Macaca fascicularis: one gene and its partners. The main gene of each other region encodes a partner of the protein of the gene in region 4 in a complex. Links are inferred from orthologs where the notes say so. Each region holds a gene or a part of one and is shown on either strand. Other genes may lie near its edges.

Region 1 (3,518 bases), about 28 Mb from region 4:
CCCACTCTCAGGGCCTGGGTGGAGGAGAAGCGGAAGGGGACCTTTGGGATTCAGTGACTCAGAGTTACGGGACACCATCTGACATGCAACATGACCCAGGTGAAACTCAAGCCTGCAGACAGAGTCCCTGGTCCCCACCCTGGGGGCTCTGGGCAGGTTAGCAGGCCTGTCTGTGCTGCCAGCCAGCCTGTGCCTCCCCTTCTGGGGCTGCACCCTCACAGTAGCTTCCTAGAGGGTCCTAGAACTGGAGCCTCTGGAGCGATATTGGAAGCACTTCAGTTCTACAGCCCAGGGGCCAAAAATGTGATTAGCAGAACCTGATCCCTAAAGTCGCCACTGAGATAACGCTGACAGGGGAGACTCACGCACAGAAGACAGAAGTCCTGGGTTCTACTGAGATAACGCTGACAGGGGAGACTCACGCATAGAAGACAGAAGTCCTGGGTTCTACTGAGATAACGCTGACAGGGGAGACTCACGCATAGAAGACAGAAGTCCTGGGTTCTACTGAGATAATGCTGACAGGGGAGACTCACGCACAGAAGACAGAAGTCCTGGGTTCTAATCCCAGCACCACCACTTACTAGCTGTGTGACTGGCTGCGTGGTCCCTCTATGTGCCTCAGTTTCCTCATGGGGTAACAGTTCTTTCCCTCCCTGCCTTCCACAGATGCCATGAGAGTCCAAAGACAGAACTTGGGTTAAAGGGCCTTGTAAACACTGAGGGGATGCACCTGAGGGCTGCAGGAATATGTGGGATGCTCCTGCCCACTCCATGTCAATCCTGGCCTCGAGGATCCTGAGCCCTCCTCTCATCCCCAGCAGAGCCTTGGTTTCAAGTCCCTGCACCCTCTTTCTCCTGACTCTTCTCCCTCAGACCAGGAGGCTAAGACAGGTACTCAGTCCAGTTCTATGTCCCCAGCCCCTGGCACACCATGGGGCACAGCCCACATTATGGCAGAGCTGAATCTCCCTGGGTTCTTCATATCCCTGCTAAGCTGCACTTGTGTGCTCTGCACCCCATCTGCATACCCCCCGTGACACACACATGTGCACACATGCTCAGAGGCCCCAGAGCTTCCCCTGCGGGCCCGCATGTGAACCAGCCTCCTTCTCCAGGGCAGGCCCCTGACTTCAGACCTCTCCGAGGCCCCACTATCACTACCTAGAAAACTTACACTTCTGGGGTCCCTTTCCTTTTGGGCCACAGATAAAGGGTTAATCTGTGAGACCAATTTCCGGGACAGTGTCAAGGTGGACAGTGGATTCATGTGATGTCAGTAACCCAATACAGTAAGGCTGTGGGCGTTCATTTAACTTTCAGACTAGCACTAACTTCACTGAGGTGTTCTACACGTGTGATCTCACGTATGGGTCAACAGCCCTCTGAGATACTTATTATTATCCTCATTTTACAAAGAGGAAACTGAGGCTCAGGAGGGAAGGAGACTTGGCCAAGTCTGCACAGCTAACAAGTGGATGAGATGGGATTTGAATGCAGTCAGTCTGCCCCCAAAGCACCTCCGTGTCTGAGGAGCTTCTAGCCTGCTCCCCCAGCACTCAAACCCCACCATACACACACACATCTCTAACACTAGGCAGAGTGAACTGAAGTGCTTGTGGAAACAGAACAAGTAGCCTGAGGCAGGCAGGGGGTTCCCTCTTGCTGGGGTGCTGGGGAAGGCTCATGGAAGGAGGCATCTGACAGGCAGAAGTGGGGGCACGGGCACAGCCTCCATCTCCTTTAGATCATCTCCCTGCCTTGAGGCAGCTGTCAGCCCAGATCTTCCCCCAAGGCATGGGGCAAGAGGAGGGAGGGGACTACTCACATTGCCTTCATCGTCCACCACCTGGATCTGCCCAGAGTCGCAGAGCTTCACCACTGCCCCGATGGGCACATCAAACTCCTGCCCCGATCTCAGGTCCATCCACACATAGTCCCCCTATGGGCGAGAGAGAGTCCCAGGCCAGGTGAGCAGGGAGCCCCCTTCCAGGCAGCCCTGCATCCCTCTGCTACCACCAGAGGCTCTGGGCCAACCACAGAAGGGGGAAGAGAAGGGGACTCACACTTACTAGAAACCTTCTGGAGCAGGGCAGGCCCTGGGCTGGCCATTTATGCAATGTCATCAGTCCCTCCTCTAGAGCAGCCATGTTCCCATTTTACAGAAGAGTTAGCAGAGGCTCAGAGGGAGCCAAAGCCTCTTGAAGCCCAGCTCTCCCCATGGATCTACACTTTACATGTGTATGACAGATTCACTGGAGTCTAGACAGAAACACAAGACCACTCAAACTACTTCCTCTCTAACATGAGGTGACACCAGAGGACACCCAGACCGTGGGTGAGCTGCATCCTTCTTTACCTCCAGGGCCGATTTTCATCATCATCATGACAGGTTCCTCACAGGGACACCACTCCTTGCTGGGCCCTAGATAAGGGTTCAGCCACATTGTCTTCTGGCATGTGGGGAGCGCCCTGACCTCGCAGGAGGATGTCGTTTTGTGTTTCTGTGGCATCTGGCCCAGGGCCTGGGTCTCACTACTCACTCAGTAAGGGATCGTGAGAGTCAAACGTAAAATCCCAAGTCAGAGAAATGGACTGAGAACAACCACATTCAGCACTGATGGATTCAACAGACATGTATTGATTACCTACTGAGTACAAAACACTGATTAATCTAAATGCTGGGGGTTGAGCAGTGATTATGGAGTCTACATTCAAGTTAGAGGTGGTGACAAACAACTGAGCAAATAGATCAGCATGATCACTTTGGATACTGGGGTGAGTGCTGTCAAGGGAATAAACAAGCCAGTGGTAGAGAATGACAGGGCCAACCAACCTAGACCCAGTAGCCAATGGAGCTGCTCCGTGGAGGGAATCGCTGAACTGACACCTGAAGGGTGACAAGCAGTCAGCCAAGGGAAAAGCAGGGGACAGTAATCCCAGCATAGGAAATAACATGTGCAAAGGCCCTGTGGCAGGAAGGAACAGCCAGGAGGCAGGACCTAATGAGCAAAAGGGAGCTCAGAGAAGTAGACAGGGTCCAGGATACATAAGCCCTTTGTTGGCCTTGGGATACAAGCTTAGATTTTATTCTAATCCTAATAAAAGTATTCTTTTTTGGATGGTACTCAAACTCCCTAGGAGTGTGGAAGAACTCAGACATTCTAATAAGAATATAACTTAATATCAAATTGCAAATAAAAATGTAACAGCTGATAAAACTGATTCACAATGAAGTAAACCCATGGGAATGGTCTGACAGAATCTGTTCTGGGCTAGGAGTCAGAAGACTGGGTTTCAGGCCCTGCCTGGCCTTGGTGAGTCGCTGACCTCTTTCAGCCTCAATTTCCACATTTCTCAGTGAAGGCTGAACTCAGTGAGTCCAAGACCAACTCATTACTGTTTCAGCCTCCTCTTATTCCCATCAGAACCAGCTACAGTCATGCATTGTTTAACACCAGAGATAAGTTCTGTGCGAACATCTTGGAGTCATTGAGTGTACCTCACAAACCTAGATG
Region 2 (2,686 bases), about 48 Mb from region 4:
ACCTACCGAGAACTCCGGATCCCGAGCCTGGACCCTCAGAGGCTGAGAGGGGGCAGCTGCATCCTTGACCACAACACCTGCTCCAGCGCCAAGTGCCACGGTGCCACGGTACAGGCTCTGGGGGAAGCGGGGCGGGCTCCCGGCTGCAGCCACAGCCTCCACGGTGACCTGGGTCACTGAGTAGCGGGCAAGGTCGGCCTGCTGGCCCTGGAGGCGGGGGAGGCAGCCGTGACTCGTGGGGTTGACGGTGGAGCTGGTGCTGAAGCCTGGGGCTCAGGAAGAATAGATGCAGACTTGGCAGGGGCCCTGCCCCCCCGCCCTGACCCCCGCCCTACCTTCCACCCTGCCCCCACTGCCCTGCCCCCCGTGCAGGTCCCTACCTCACCTTCACCAGCAGAAGAAAGGTCATGGCTCTGGGGACACTCCTGGCCATGGTGAGGTTGCCGGAGTCTCGGTGGATGACAAATGTACTGTTCACATTTCCTGGGAGGACGATGGAAGTGCTCAGTCCCGGCCTCCTGAGGCCCAGGGACCCAGCCAGCTCTGCCTTGCTGGCAGGTGCCCCTGGGGCTTCCCCAGCCCAAGGTGGGGACAGAGACAGGGACAGAGAGGGGTCCGGGGCATTGTTGAGGGCTGGGCCCCACTCACCACTGAAGATGCTGTAGATGATGGCTTGGTTGATGCCGCGGTCTCCATCCTCGGCGTAGATGGGTCCGGGACGCAGGACGAGGGGGGATGGCTTCAAGGATGGTGGAGAGGAGGGCACGTCGTGAGGCTGGGGTGAATGGCCCCAACCTGGCCCCTCTGGCTCCCCATCAAGGTCAGCCAGGGCAGGGCTGGCTGAGGAGGGGCCCAGTCCCGCTGGTGGCCGGGCATCCCTGCCTGTCTAGGACTGTCCCTTGTCCCAGTATCACAGTGAGTCACACCCCTGTGGGTCCCTCACTAACGAATAAGTTGCCCAAAGATACTGAGTGCCATTTGCACGATGCTTGTCTTGACGGCTAAGCAGACATTTAGGAAGCGGGGGGTTCCCGGGGTCTGCGTTTCTGCCTCTCATGTGCTGTTTGGTGGCCCCGGGTGCCTTGGTGCTGTGAAGGTTTGCAGACAGCCTGTGTGGGCCTAGTGGTGACTGTGAGCAGGGCAGAGATCTCACCATCCCTTAAGAACTCCAGGGCCCCAGCCCACCTCCCCAGGCCCCTGAGACCGCCTGGCTCTGGGGCCCACACTCCTCTCTGTGTGTTCAGGGTTTGCTCCCTCAAGATGGGAAAGATTGGTTTATAAGGAGAGTCTGTATTTGTTTCAAAGTCACAACCAAACTTGGCCCCACCCGCTGACCCTGACCCTGCCCTTCTTCTGATCCTGGCCGTCCCTGCCTCCAACCTGCCTAGAAGGCCCCGCCCCGGGCACTGCCCCTCCCTCCCCATTACCAGTGTGTGCCCCGTGGGGACAGCCCCGTGGTACTGAGCTTGGATGCAGACGTAGCCGTCTGAGAAGGTGCAGGGCAGGAACCAGGGGGGCCGCAGGTCGGCAGGCACCACGTTCAGCACCAGCGTGGCGGTGGCCGTGTGGCTGGGCTCCACATTCTCCTCCGGAGTGTCCTGCAACAGCCAGATCAGGCCTGGGAGCAGCTGGGGCCAGGGGGACCTCAAGCATGTGGGACTCAGGGCTGGGGTGAGCCGCTCACCCGCACCAGCAGCCGGAAGGCCATGTTGGGCCGCTCGTAGAAGTCCAGGGGCCGGTCCAGCCTCAGGGCGGGATAGTTTACACCCACCAGGGAGAAGTAGTCACTGGCACCCTGGGGAGGATCAGGGAGGACACAGCCTAAGAGCCTGGGAGGGCGAGGGCGGCTGCGGGTGTCAGTGGCGAGGGGCTCACGCTGGGGCAGGGCAGGCGGCACTGACTGCGGTCGCTTCCTGGAGGGTGTAGAACAGAAGGTCATCCTTGTCTTTGTCCTTGGCCTGCAGTTCTGTCTCAGGGATGACGGTGGAGTTTACTTTAGTGTCCTAGGGAGGGAGAGGGGCTTGGTCTGGCCACACTCTTGGCCCCTGTGGACCCCCGCTGTGGTTGAGCCCCCGGCCACCACTCGCCCCTTGCCCTCACCCTGGGCTCCCGCACCCCCTGCCCAGCCCTGGCAGCTTCGCTGGCCTCACCTCTTCCACCCTTATCTCCTTGGTTGTAAAGGGGAATTCGGGGGCGTTGTCATTGACGTCCAGCACTGACACGAACACCCTCAGCTGGGTCACCTGCAGGATGTGGCCGTCAGCCTCTCCCACAGCCGCTCCCCATCATGAGTGAGGTGTACCCCTCGACGCTATCCTTCCCCATCGTGAGTGAGGTGCACCCCTCGACAGCTATCCGTCCACTCGCTCAGTGGTGTTGGGGGGCTGCAGGGGGGCTGCACAGCTCTAGGTGCTGGGATGCAGAGATCACAAGAGACAAATCTCTGCCCGGTGGTGCCTGTCCTGGCAGGACTTACAACAACAGACAAAAAGGACTTTATAAAGCCAGGAGGTGGCAGGTGCGCCACAGAAAAATAATGCAGGTACTTGGGGATGCAACCAGCAGAATCTCAAGCGAGGAAAGACAATCCAGTTCTTTTCTTTGTTTTCTTTTTGGATACAGAGTCTCATTCTGTCACCCAGGCTGGAGTGCAGTGGCGTGATCTTGGCTCACTGCAACATCTGCC
Region 3 (3,033 bases), on a different chromosome or scaffold from region 4:
TTGCCTCAGCCTCTGGAGTAGCTGGGATTACAGACACATGCCACCAGGCCCGGCTAATTTTTGTATTTTTAGTAGAGATAGGTTTCCGCCATTTTGGCCAGGCTGGTCTTGAACTCCTGACCTCAAGTGATCTGCCTGCCTGGGCCTCCCAAAGTGCTGGAATTACAGGAGTGAGCCAAGTGTTGTCAGTTTCTATCATGGAACCTACAGGTATTCGGATATGCAGCAATGGTGACAGACAACAGTAAATAAACCATGTGTACATAATAAGTATGAAAATGTGAAATTTCCTTTTACGATCAAATCTTCCCTCCAAAGAACTTAGTTTTTTTTTTTTTTTTTCCTTAAGTTTCAGTAGGTGTTTACCTTTAAAAAACTCATCAGTTGCAGTTGGCCAGACTTTTTTTCTGTGTTTTTCTTGGTCTCCTCCCCAACCCCTCTTACTTAGGACTGTATTATTCTGCTAGGAATGCCGTAACAAAATGCCACAGACTGGGTGGCTTCAACAACAGAAGTTTATCAACAGAAGTTTATTTTTTCACACCTTTGGAGGCTGGAAGTCCAAGATCAAGGTGTTGGCAGGGTTAGTTTCTCCTGAGGCCCCTCTCCTCAGCTTGCAGACGGCTGCCTTCTCACTGCATTCTCACGTGGCCTCACTGTGTCCCTTCTACCTACGTGTCTCTTCCTCTTCTTAGGACACCAGTCCTAGGCTGGATGCCGTGGCTCACGCCTGTAATCCCAGCGCTCTGAGAGGCCAAGGCAGGTGGATCACCCGAGGTCAGGAGTTCAAGACCAGCCTGGCCAACATGGTGAAACCCTGTCTCTACTAAAAATACAAAAAATTAGCCAGGCGTGGTGGTACATACCTGTAATCCCAGCTACTCAGGAGGCTAAGGCATGAAAATTGCTTGAACCTGGGAGGCAGAGGTTGTAGTGAGCTGAGATCATGCCACTGTACTCCAGCATGGGTGACAGAGCAAGGCTCCATCTCAAAAAAAAAAAAAAAAAGGAAAAAAGGAGGCTAGTCCTATAGGATTAGGGTCCCATTCTTATGACTTCATTTAACCTTAATCACTTCTTTAAAGGCCTTATTTCCAAATACAGTCACATTAGGGGTTAGAGTGCCAACATATGAATTTGACACAAGTCAGTCAACAACAAGTACCATCTGTATTCTATTTCTTTCTTCACTCTCCCCACTGCCACTCTGTCTCTATTCTCAGGCAGGAGTATTATAGATGCATTTCCATTACTTGTAAACATGTACACATTTGTTAAAGGGTTAGATGCATTTAAGTTGGGCATCAAGCCTCAGGCCAGGAAAGAACTTTAGTCTCTACCACCAGGCAAAGTCATAGAGCTCAGGAGAGAAAAAGAATTAGAATTCCCAGGTTATATGGATCAGAAAGCAAGCAGCAGGATAATGACATGAGATTATAATTTTAAATCCAGAGATAGAAAAGTAAAGGAAGTTTCTTTCATTTTCCTGTCACGCATATGACCCTTTCTTTATTCAAAAGTATCAAAAAGATAGGCTGGGTACAGTGGTTCACACCTGCAATCCCAATGCTTTAGGAGGCTGAGGTGGGAGGACTGCTTGAGGTCAGGAGTTTGAGACCAGGCTGGGCAACGTGGTAAGACCCCACCTCTACTGAAACATACAAAATAAGCCAGGTGTGGGTGTGTGCACCTGTAGTCCCAGCTACTTGAAAGGCTGAGGTGGGAGGAGATCACTTGAGCCCAGGAGGTTGAGAATACAGTGGACTATGATCATACCACTGCAACCCAGCCTGGGTAAGAGAGTGAGACCCTCATCTCCAAAAAAAAAAAAAAATACACACACACACACACACACACACACACACACACACACACACATATATAAGATAACTGAAGAGAAATGCCATTTTCTTGTTATGAAGTCTCCTCAAGTTTCTCATGGAGATTTATTTGGATGGGCCTCCCAGAGTAAAGTTTGGGCCTCTCTCTCAAGTAGGCATCTCCAATGCCCTAGAATCCATTCCCAGTGATCTGGCATTGGGTAAAGAGGGGGTGCTGCCTGGAGTGCTGCCAGCAGACCACAGCATCACCCCAATGCTCCAGGCCAAAACCCTCCATCACAGGCTGGTGTCGACCAGCTGCCCAGGCTGTTGTAGCACCTGCTTCCTCCTGTTTATAGCATTCAGAACTTTCTTCCTGGGACCCAGCTGCATTTGTATGCTCTGAAGGTCCTCATCAGAGCAGAGCAGCAGAGCTTCTAGATCAATCTGCTCTCTCTTAAAGATAGGCAGGAATTCTTCCAGGTGCTGAGACAGCAAGAACACTTCCAGGGGCGTGGCATCGACCACATCTTCCTCCCACTCCACTTCATCCTCACCCCATGGTAGATCATCTTTGAGGCTGTTTTCCTCTTCCTCTTCATCAGCTATACCCTCATCAGTCTCTGATGTTCCTTGTGTTTGAAACAATTCACTGGGCAGTTTAAAACCCAACTCCCTCTTGCTATCTGAGATGTCTTCAGGACTCAATATCCTGTTCCTTCTAAAAACAATACTTCCTAGACCTGGACGATTGAGAATGGATTCATGGCGCACACTGCTGTCCTCCTCTGCTGACAACTGGAGCTTCTCTTTGAAGTCCCCTGAGAATGAGTCTTCCTCTTCCTCTCTGAACACTTCCATCACGTTCCTCTGCCCACTTCTGCCTTCCTTCCCCACCTGTTCTGCTGTATCGTTGTTCTTTTTGAACTTGATCTTGAAAGTATCTTTAATGCCCTTAGATAGTGACCCGAATGTGCCAGGAGCAGAAGCATTTGAAGGGAATGACCTGGAGAAGGTACCCTTGGAAGAAGAGACAGTCCCAGACTCCTCCTTGCTGTAGGTGCGGGCCATCTTATTTTGGTGCTTCTCCTGGAGCCTCTCACACTCTTTGATCTGCCTCCTGGCATTCTTCTGAGCCTGCTCCTTCAGCCTGGTGACCTTCTTGGGGTTCATGATGTTCTGCGCAGTGGCAGCCTTGTCCAGGAGAGCAACA
Region 4 (3,518 bases):
AACAGAATAGCTAACATTCACTGATCACTTACAGTGTGCTTGGCACAGTTCTAGTATACATATTAACTACTTTAACCCACACAACAACCTTGGAAGAAAGGCTTTATTATCCCCATCTTATAGGTAAGGAAACTGAAGCACAGAGACATGAAGTAACTTGTCCAAAGAAGAGGTTAAGGGTTCCTGCTTTGGGATGAGACCACCTAGGTTTGAATTCCAGTCCTACCATGCTAGGTACATGATTTCAGAAAAATCATATACTTTCTCTGGGTCTCAGTTTCCTCATATGTAAAGTGGGGATAATGGTGGCACTTAATCCTCAGCGTTCTTGTGAAGTGTAAAGGGCGTGGAACAATGTCCGATGCAAGTGGACCCTGAAGGTCCGCTCTTTGATTATCATTATGACATTCCCAAGCTCACGACCAACAACCATCAGAGCTATGGAAGGCTGCAGAAGGGTCAAATGTCCCCACTCTGTGAAGCCTTCTCTGAAGGGTGGGTAGGGCTCCTCCTGATCAGTGACCGCCGAAAGAGGGCCATGTGGAAAGGCACCTGCCCCTGTCACCGCGGGATCACAGTCTGACCCAGTTTCCAGTGGGCCCCCACTGGGGCCGGCCCAGCGTCACTCACCTCCAATCCCACCTCAGCAGACAGGGAGCCAGGTTTCACGTGGCTGATGAAGATGCCAGGCTTCTGGATGGGGCCGCTGGAAATGCTGTGGGAGGTGGGAAATGTGTGCTTAGGATACAGGTCACTCATGAACTCAGGACTGAAGGCCCTCGGCTGCCTACCTCTTCAGCCTCTGTCTCCCCGTCCAGCCTGATTTCTACTGCTACCCTGGGCAACAGCCACAGAAAACTCCTTGTAATTCTTCCTACCCAATCTCTCACCTAATATACCTCATATGTTGTTTCTTTTTCCTTTCTAACGCTTTCCTGTCCATTCCTTAAGAACCAAATGCTATCCCTTCTATAAGGTTTTCAGCAGATCCTCTTTTTTAAAAAATTTATTTTTTAGAGACAGGGTCTTGCTCTGTCACCCAGGTTGGAGTGCAGTGGTGTGATCATAGCTCTCCACAGCCTCCAACTCCTGGGCTCAAGCAATCCTCCCACCTCAACCTCTTGACTAGCTACGACTACAGGTGCACACCACCATGCCTGGCTCAGATCCCTTATTCTATCCCAAGACCAAGCTATTTGCTCGGTTCTCAGTGCTCCTATGACATTTACGACAGGAATGGCACATGTACTGTTATTATTCCTTCCTAGATTGGTGGCAGAAATCACTCACTGATCACAGCACTCTTTCCCTCAAGCCTGGATATAGCTTTAGAATCCTTTTCAAAGCAGCACTCCAGGGAGCTCCTACTAATTGATTAGAGATGGCACCTATTTGCCATCCCGGACACAGAATGTAGTTCCATTTGAGTCCCTATCACCCTATATTATAACTGTTTATGTGGTTGGCTTCTAGATTAGGCTCTTGTCTCCCAGAAGGGAGGGACTCTTTATCACTTATGCTTGGCACAAAACATGGAATAAATGTGAATGAAGGGAAAGAAGAGGAATAACTCAAATCATAACAGCTAGTATTTACCAACTGCTTACTGTTTAGCAGGTACTAAGCTTGGTACTTTACTTTCTCCACAATCACCCTGTGATGTGGGAATTATTATCATCAATTTATAGAGGGAGAAACTGAGGCTCCAAGTGGTTAAGTAACTGGCCCAAGGTTCCAGAGCTCTTAAGTAGGAAAGCAGGGCTGGAACTGGGATCTGAGTAACGGTGGAACCTGCACGCTTGAGCCCCGTGTGGCCCAGTATCTGTTTGGATTCCCCGTCTGCCTCTTAACGAAGCCGACAAGGTAATAAGTGATAAGAGAACTGTGACAGAGATGACCAGCTGAACAGGCTCCTTTTGCAGTGACTCAAGGACCTACAAGGTAACATGGTTCTGCCTCTAGGCCTCAATTTCTTTATCCGTAAACTGGGATCTATTAGAGATGCCCCTCGGGCCCTACAGGCCTGTCGTGAAATTCAGAGGGGAAATCAGGCACCAGGAAGTGTCATCACCAAGGCTGGGCGCGGTGCTTCATGCCTCTAATCCCAGCACTCCGGGAGGCTGAGGTGGGAGGATCATTTGAGCCCAGGAATTTGAGACCAGCCTTGGCAACATAACAAAACTCCTTCTCTACAAAAAAATTAAAAGTTAGCTGGGTGTCATGGTGTGTTTCTGTAGACCCAGCTACTCAGGAGGCTGAGGTGGGAGGATTGCTTGAGCTGGGGAGGTCGAGGCTACAGTGAGCTATGATCACGCCATTGCACTCCAGCCCAGGTGACAGAGCCAGACCCTGTCTCTAACAAAAAAATACCATCACCCATGGACAAGTCACACCCCTGGTGGGCAAGGTTTCCTCAGAAGCAGCAGTGAGGAAGGGGAGGGTAATAGGGGCCTGCTGGGGTGCACTGGCCACGAATGACCCCGGGGCATGCCCACCACCCACCTGCAGCCAAGGCCCCGGGAGCCCACCAGGCTGATGAAGACCTTCTTCTCCTTGTTTTCCCGATTTCCAGGGGAGCCCAGGCTGCCTCGCCCCCCCTGAAAGGGAGATAGAAGCAGAATCTCTGAGTGTCCACATGCGTGCAAGCGGCCTCTTGAGCTCGTGGGACCTGCAGGGCGAGCACTGCTGAACTCACACCAGCCAGATCATCATTCTGTCCCTGGGGATGTGTCTGCACCAGCCTGGCCTGGCTGAGGGCCACTGCCCCACAGCAGTGTGCTGGCTGCCCTGGGGGCCTGTGTGAAGTCCCTGAGAGTGCATCTCTAGAGCAAGCCCTCCCTTTAGGACTGGCCGCCCATCCTTGAAGATGACCCCACCCAAACCCCATCACAGGAGGTCTGGCCCTTACCCCAGATTCTGACACAAACTGATCCACATACTGCCACTTGAGGGGCTCATCAGGAGAGCTGATGGGAAGGGAAAATAGATGGAAGGGTGGTTAGCGAGAGACGTTTGAGGAACCAGGCCCCAAATCCAGATCCACCATGTCTACAACCTCCAGCCTCCACTGGCCCAGGAGCAGGGCTGGCATGGTGAGTGCTGGACCCCAGGGCTGTACCAGGACCCCGGGCCCACAGGGAAGAGTCGGCCTGCAGAGGAGGGGCCTCTCACCTCTTCACGGGGATCAGGCCAATGTCTGTGGGAGAAAGGCACAGGGGTTAGGACAGCTCCTCCACCCTCCCTCCCTCCCACCATCATGGAGCCCTGTCCTGCTCTAGTCTCACTCACGTCTCACTTTGATGGACACAGTTTTCTTGGTTCGGATGAGGTTGATGACCTCCTCATGGGTACAGGAGGAGATGGAATATCCATTGATCCGGACGATCTCGTCCCCTACCTTGACCACAGAGAGAGGCAGGGAGCACTGGCTGGAGGGAGCATCAGGCAGTGGGGCAGACTCACCACCAGATGCTCCCAGACTGCTATCCGGAAAAGGGAAGGGTGGCCATGCCATCCCC
Region 5 (3,518 bases), on a different chromosome or scaffold from region 4:
CGCCTGTAATCCCAGCACTTTGGGAGGCTAAGGTGGGTGGATCACTTGAGGCCAGGAGTTCGAGACCAGCCTGGCCAACAGGGTGAAACTCCATCTCTACTAAAAACAGAAAAATTAGCTGGGTGAGGTGGTGCACGCCTGTAATCACAGCTATTCGGGAGGCTGAGGCAGGAGAATCACTTGAACCTGGAAGGCAGAGGCTGCAGTGAGCCAAGATTGGGCCATTGCACTCCAGCCTAAGCAACAGAGTGAAACTCCATCTCAAAAAAAAAAAAAAACACCCTCCCACCTCACACCCTCAAACCACTTGTCCCAACACTGCTCAGCCTCCTCCAGTTCCCATGACTACCCAAATCATGGCCACCCAATGCCAGGAGACCTTGTCAGCCACCCATCACCACGGACAATGACGTTCTACTCAGCATCATCTGACGTTCAACATCAGCCTCCACTCAGCACGGCCTCCTATTCAGCCCCACATGGATTGCCCAGAGGATGACATTGCTTACCGACGAAGGTTTCCAGAGAGCACACAGCACCCCCATTTTCCGTCACCACGCCCTGCACCACCAGCACCACCACCCAGCACCACATGGCACTGTCACTCAATCCGGGCTTCCACTGGCCTCCCCCAGCCACCCCTGCCCACACCCACGCCACCACACCTGCCTTGTCCGGGTCGTAGGCCACCTTGCCACCCCCGCCCACACCCACGCCACCACACCTGCCTTGTCCGGGTCGTAGGCCACCATGCCACCCCCGCCCACACCCGCACCACCACGCTTGCCTTGTCCGGGTCGTAGACCACCATGGTGAGGTCATCGATGGGGATGCGGGGGGAGGCATGCTCGTCCACGTAGCCAGTGAAGTTCACTTGGGCCTCTTCGGGGGTGAAGGTGCAGGCTGGGAGGCTGCAGTTGTAAAACTCAGGTTTGTGGTCATTGACGTCCAACACTCTCACTGTCACCCAGATGCTCACCTTGGCCTCCTGCCCGTAGATGTTGAGGTGTGTCTCGGTGGCCTGAGGCACAGAGCAGAGGTCAGAGGTCAGAGGTCAGAGAGCCAGTGCTCAGAGAGACCAAAAGCCAGAGGTTAGAGAGCAGGATTCTGACAGGGGTGGTGGGGCCTTTGCTCACCGTGACCTGCAGCTGCACCTCCTCATCCTCCTCCAGCAGTTGCTCACGGTCCAGGGAGCCGTTGACCCTGATCACCCCATCTGCCCCGATGTCAAACCAGCCGGGCCACGTGGAGTCTGGCAAGCAAGGAGACAGGTGGAACAGCTGGAACAGCTGCTCCAGTGGCTCTGACGGAGCACTGACCCCGGCCCCGGCCCAGCCCTGGCCTGGGGACACCCCATTCTCACTGGAGATGCTGTAGATCACAGGGTCATTGATGCCTTTGTCGCCATCCACAGCCTCCACTTTCAGCACCGAGGTTCCCTGGAATGGTGCCTGGTCAGTGCTCCTCAAACTTCCCCCGCCTCCCGCTTCCACTCATACCCCACAGGTCCCCTGGGCACCTTGGCTGCGTCCTCAGCCACAGAGGCCGAGTAAAACTCCCTGACAAACTGGGGGTCAAGGTCAGGCTGGTCCACCACGGAGATGGACAGGAAGGCAGGCAGGGAGCACTGGATGGTGAAGCTGTTGTTGAACATGCCGCCCAAGTCCTGCGGGGAGATGGCCGCCCGTGAGCCAGCGCCGTGGGTCCTAGGCCCCCCCTCTGGCACCCCCACTCACACAGGCCTTCAGCTCCAGCTGGTAGAAAGCGCTCTTGTTGTTGTAGCTGAGGCTGCCACTGAGGATGATGGAGCCATTGGCCAGGATCCGGAAGAGATGCTCGCTGTCCCCAGTGCTAGGGATGACCTGGGGCAGAGCAGACTTGGGTCAGTCTCCCTAGGGACAGCCCTGCCCCGAGGATCCCACTCAGCAACACAGGGAAGGCCCCAGCTCTACCACTGACCAGTCACGCCACTGGCACCAGGTCGTATGACCTCTCTGAGCCTCAGTCTCCAGCTCTGGGAAATGGGGCTGGTGACAACCCTCAGTGGGTTGAAAGGAGGATCCAATAAGATGCAGTCAGCCTTCCATCTCTGTGGGTTCCACATCCACACATTTGACCAGCCACAGATCAAAACTGTAGCTATGCTCACAATGGTTGTGTCTGTACTGAAGATGTACAAACTTTTTCCCTTGCCATGATTCCCTAAACAATATAGCATACATAATACGCTATATTTACATAGTATTTGCATTGCATTGGTATTAGAGGTAACCTAGAGGTGATTTAAAGTACACAGGAGGATGTGTCTAGGTTACATGCAAATACTACCCCCATTGCATGTCCAGGGACTTGAGCAGCCAGGGATTTTGGTGTCCTCAGGGATCCTGGAGCCAATTCCCCACAGATACCAAGGGGTGACTGCATGGTATGTGCCAGGCACGCGGTTGGTGCTCGGTAAATGGCGCTATCAACAGCAACTCTGTTTCCATGAGAAATGGGTTCACACGCCCCTTACTGTCTGTGGAACCTGGACAAGACCTGGGAGCAGGCGGGCGGGAAGAAGGGTCTGGTCTGCAGCAGGCACCCTCTTTAGGCAAGTGGGCAAAGTGAGGTTTCCGGGGAGGGGGGCTGGTGGCCAGAGGAAGGTTTGGGGGCCAGGGCTGGGCCAAGGCACGACCAACGTCCCCACCCCAACGCTCGGGCCCCGTGGGTTGTCTGTGGATATGCTGCCCCCTGGCGGTCACGAAGGCGGTCAGGGCCCCCTTCATACTCACCTTCTCTATGGAGTACACGACCATGCCGGCAGGTCCCATGTCTTTATCCACGGCCAGCACGGAGAACACCACGCTGCCCACGGGCAGGGTCTGCAGGGAGGGACCCGTCGCTTACCAGCTCAAACCCAGCTCCTCCTCTCCCTCGTCTGTCACTGCCCCCCGAGCTTCAGTGTCCTCAGCTGTGCACTCAGGGGACAGTGTTCCCCTGTCCTTCCCACCAGGGCTGCGGGTGGAAGGCAGCTGGGGGTGCGGGGCGGCAGGGAGGATCTCCCTCCTCCCCGCCCCACACAGCCTCTCCACCACCTGAGCTGGCTTCTGATTTTCGGAGCCCCTCAGAACCAGGACGAGGGATCATTCTAGAGCCCAGCCTCACAGTGCCACTGCACACTCAGACATCCCATGTGCTCTCTACAGCCTATAGCCATGGGTTTCAAACAGCACCCTACAGAGCTGGGGGCTTCTTCTGGGAGCCCTCTGCTCCTGGGCTCCTGTACACACGACCTCTACTTCCTTTTTTTGTTTGTTTTGTTTTTGCCTGAGACGGAGTTTCACTTTTTCGCCCAGGCTGGAGTGAAGTGGCACAATCTCGGCTCACTGTAACCTCTGCCCCCTGGATTTAAGCGATCCTCCTGCCTCAGCCTCCCCAGTAGCTGGGATTATAGGCACCCACCACCAAGCCCAGCTAATTTTTTTTTTTTTTTTTGTATTTTTAGTAGAGACAGGGTTTTGCCATGTTGGCCAGGC

Evidence for each region.
Region 1: the proteins of USH1C (region 4) and MYO7A are in contact, whole or in part, in a crystal structure (PDB 5MV9), measured with the Homo sapiens proteins. The link is inferred for Macaca fascicularis from reciprocal best matches to the Homo sapiens genes USH1C and MYO7A. Residues at the interface, in NP_001284693.1 of Homo sapiens: Glu450, Pro456, Ile457, Val461, Val462, Ser463, Tyr466, Glu467, Lys479, Gly480, Pro522, Tyr526, Asp527, Asp528, Glu529, Leu530, Thr531, Phe532, Phe533; in NP_000251.3 of Homo sapiens: Phe1946, Val1953, Ala1976, Lys1995, Lys1996, Trp1998, Gln2017, Pro2020, Lys2021, Arg2024, Tyr2026, Ser2112, Ala2113, Phe2114, Phe2115, Glu2116, Val2117, Lys2118, Ile2128, Ser2161, Gly2163, Asn2164, Thr2165, Tyr2166, His2168, Leu2181, Glu2183, Thr2184, Ser2185, Leu2186.
Region 2: USH1C (region 4) and CDHR5 share a complex: the UniProt entries of both Homo sapiens proteins name them as parts of the IMAC/intermicrovillar adhesion complex. The link is inferred for Macaca fascicularis from reciprocal best matches to the Homo sapiens genes USH1C and CDHR5.
Region 3: USH1C (region 4) and ANKS4B share a complex: the UniProt entries of both Homo sapiens proteins name them as parts of the IMAC/intermicrovillar adhesion complex. The link is inferred for Macaca fascicularis from reciprocal best matches to the Homo sapiens genes USH1C and ANKS4B.
Region 5: USH1C (region 4) and CDHR2 share a complex: the UniProt entries of both Homo sapiens proteins name them as parts of the IMAC/intermicrovillar adhesion complex. The link is inferred for Macaca fascicularis from reciprocal best matches to the Homo sapiens genes USH1C and CDHR2.

Annotation. Positions count from the first base shown.
Region 1 is NC_088388.1:76,025,930-76,029,447, reverse strand, and holds part of MYO7A (unconventional myosin-VIIa), read right to left. Parts: intron 1,943-3,518; coding exon 1,829-1,942; intron 1-1,828. UniProt on the Homo sapiens protein: Myosins are actin-based motor molecules with ATPase activity. Unconventional myosins serve in intracellular movements. Their highly divergent tails bind to membranous compartments, which are then moved relative to actin filaments.
Region 2 is NC_088388.1:522,036-524,721, forward strand, and holds part of CDHR5 (cadherin-related family member 5), read right to left. Parts: intron 2,244-2,686; coding exon 2,151-2,243; intron 2,004-2,150; coding exon 1,902-2,003; intron 1,796-1,901; coding exon 1,685-1,795; intron 1,599-1,684; coding exon 1,428-1,598; intron 740-1,427; coding exon 649-739; intron 484-648; coding exon 386-483; intron 267-385; exon of another isoform or gene 208-266; coding exon 7-207; intron 1-6. UniProt on the Homo sapiens protein: Intermicrovillar adhesion molecule that forms, via its extracellular domain, calcium-dependent heterophilic complexes with CDHR2 on adjacent microvilli. Thereby, controls the packing of microvilli at the apical membrane of epithelial cells.
Region 3 is NC_088394.1:20,694,467-20,697,499, reverse strand, and holds the end of ANKS4B (ankyrin repeat and SAM domain-containing protein 4B), read right to left. Parts: coding exon 2,118-3,033; 3' UTR 516-2,117; downstream 1-515. UniProt on the Homo sapiens protein: As part of the intermicrovillar adhesion complex/IMAC plays a role in epithelial brush border differentiation, controlling microvilli organization and length. Plays a role in assembly of the complex.
Region 4 is NC_088388.1:48,256,063-48,259,580, reverse strand, and holds part of USH1C (harmonin), read right to left. Parts: intron 3,398-3,518; coding exon 3,289-3,397; intron 3,197-3,288; coding exon 3,172-3,196; intron 2,967-3,171; coding exon 2,909-2,966; intron 2,598-2,908; coding exon 2,503-2,597; intron 716-2,502; coding exon 631-715; intron 1-630. UniProt on the Homo sapiens protein: Anchoring/scaffolding protein that is a part of the functional network formed by USH1C, USH1G, CDH23 and MYO7A that mediates mechanotransduction in cochlear hair cells. Required for normal development and maintenance of cochlear hair cell bundles.
Region 5 is NC_088380.1:183,478,114-183,481,631, reverse strand, and holds part of CDHR2 (cadherin-related family member 2), read right to left. Parts: intron 2,865-3,518; coding exon 2,775-2,864; intron 1,863-2,774; coding exon 1,737-1,862; intron 1,667-1,736; coding exon 1,520-1,666; intron 1,440-1,519; coding exon 1,364-1,439; intron 1,253-1,363; coding exon 1,137-1,252; intron 1,022-1,136; coding exon 788-1,021; intron 1-787. UniProt on the Homo sapiens protein: Intermicrovillar adhesion molecule that forms, via its extracellular domain, calcium-dependent heterophilic complexes with CDHR5 on adjacent microvilli. Thereby, controls the packing of microvilli at the apical membrane of epithelial cells.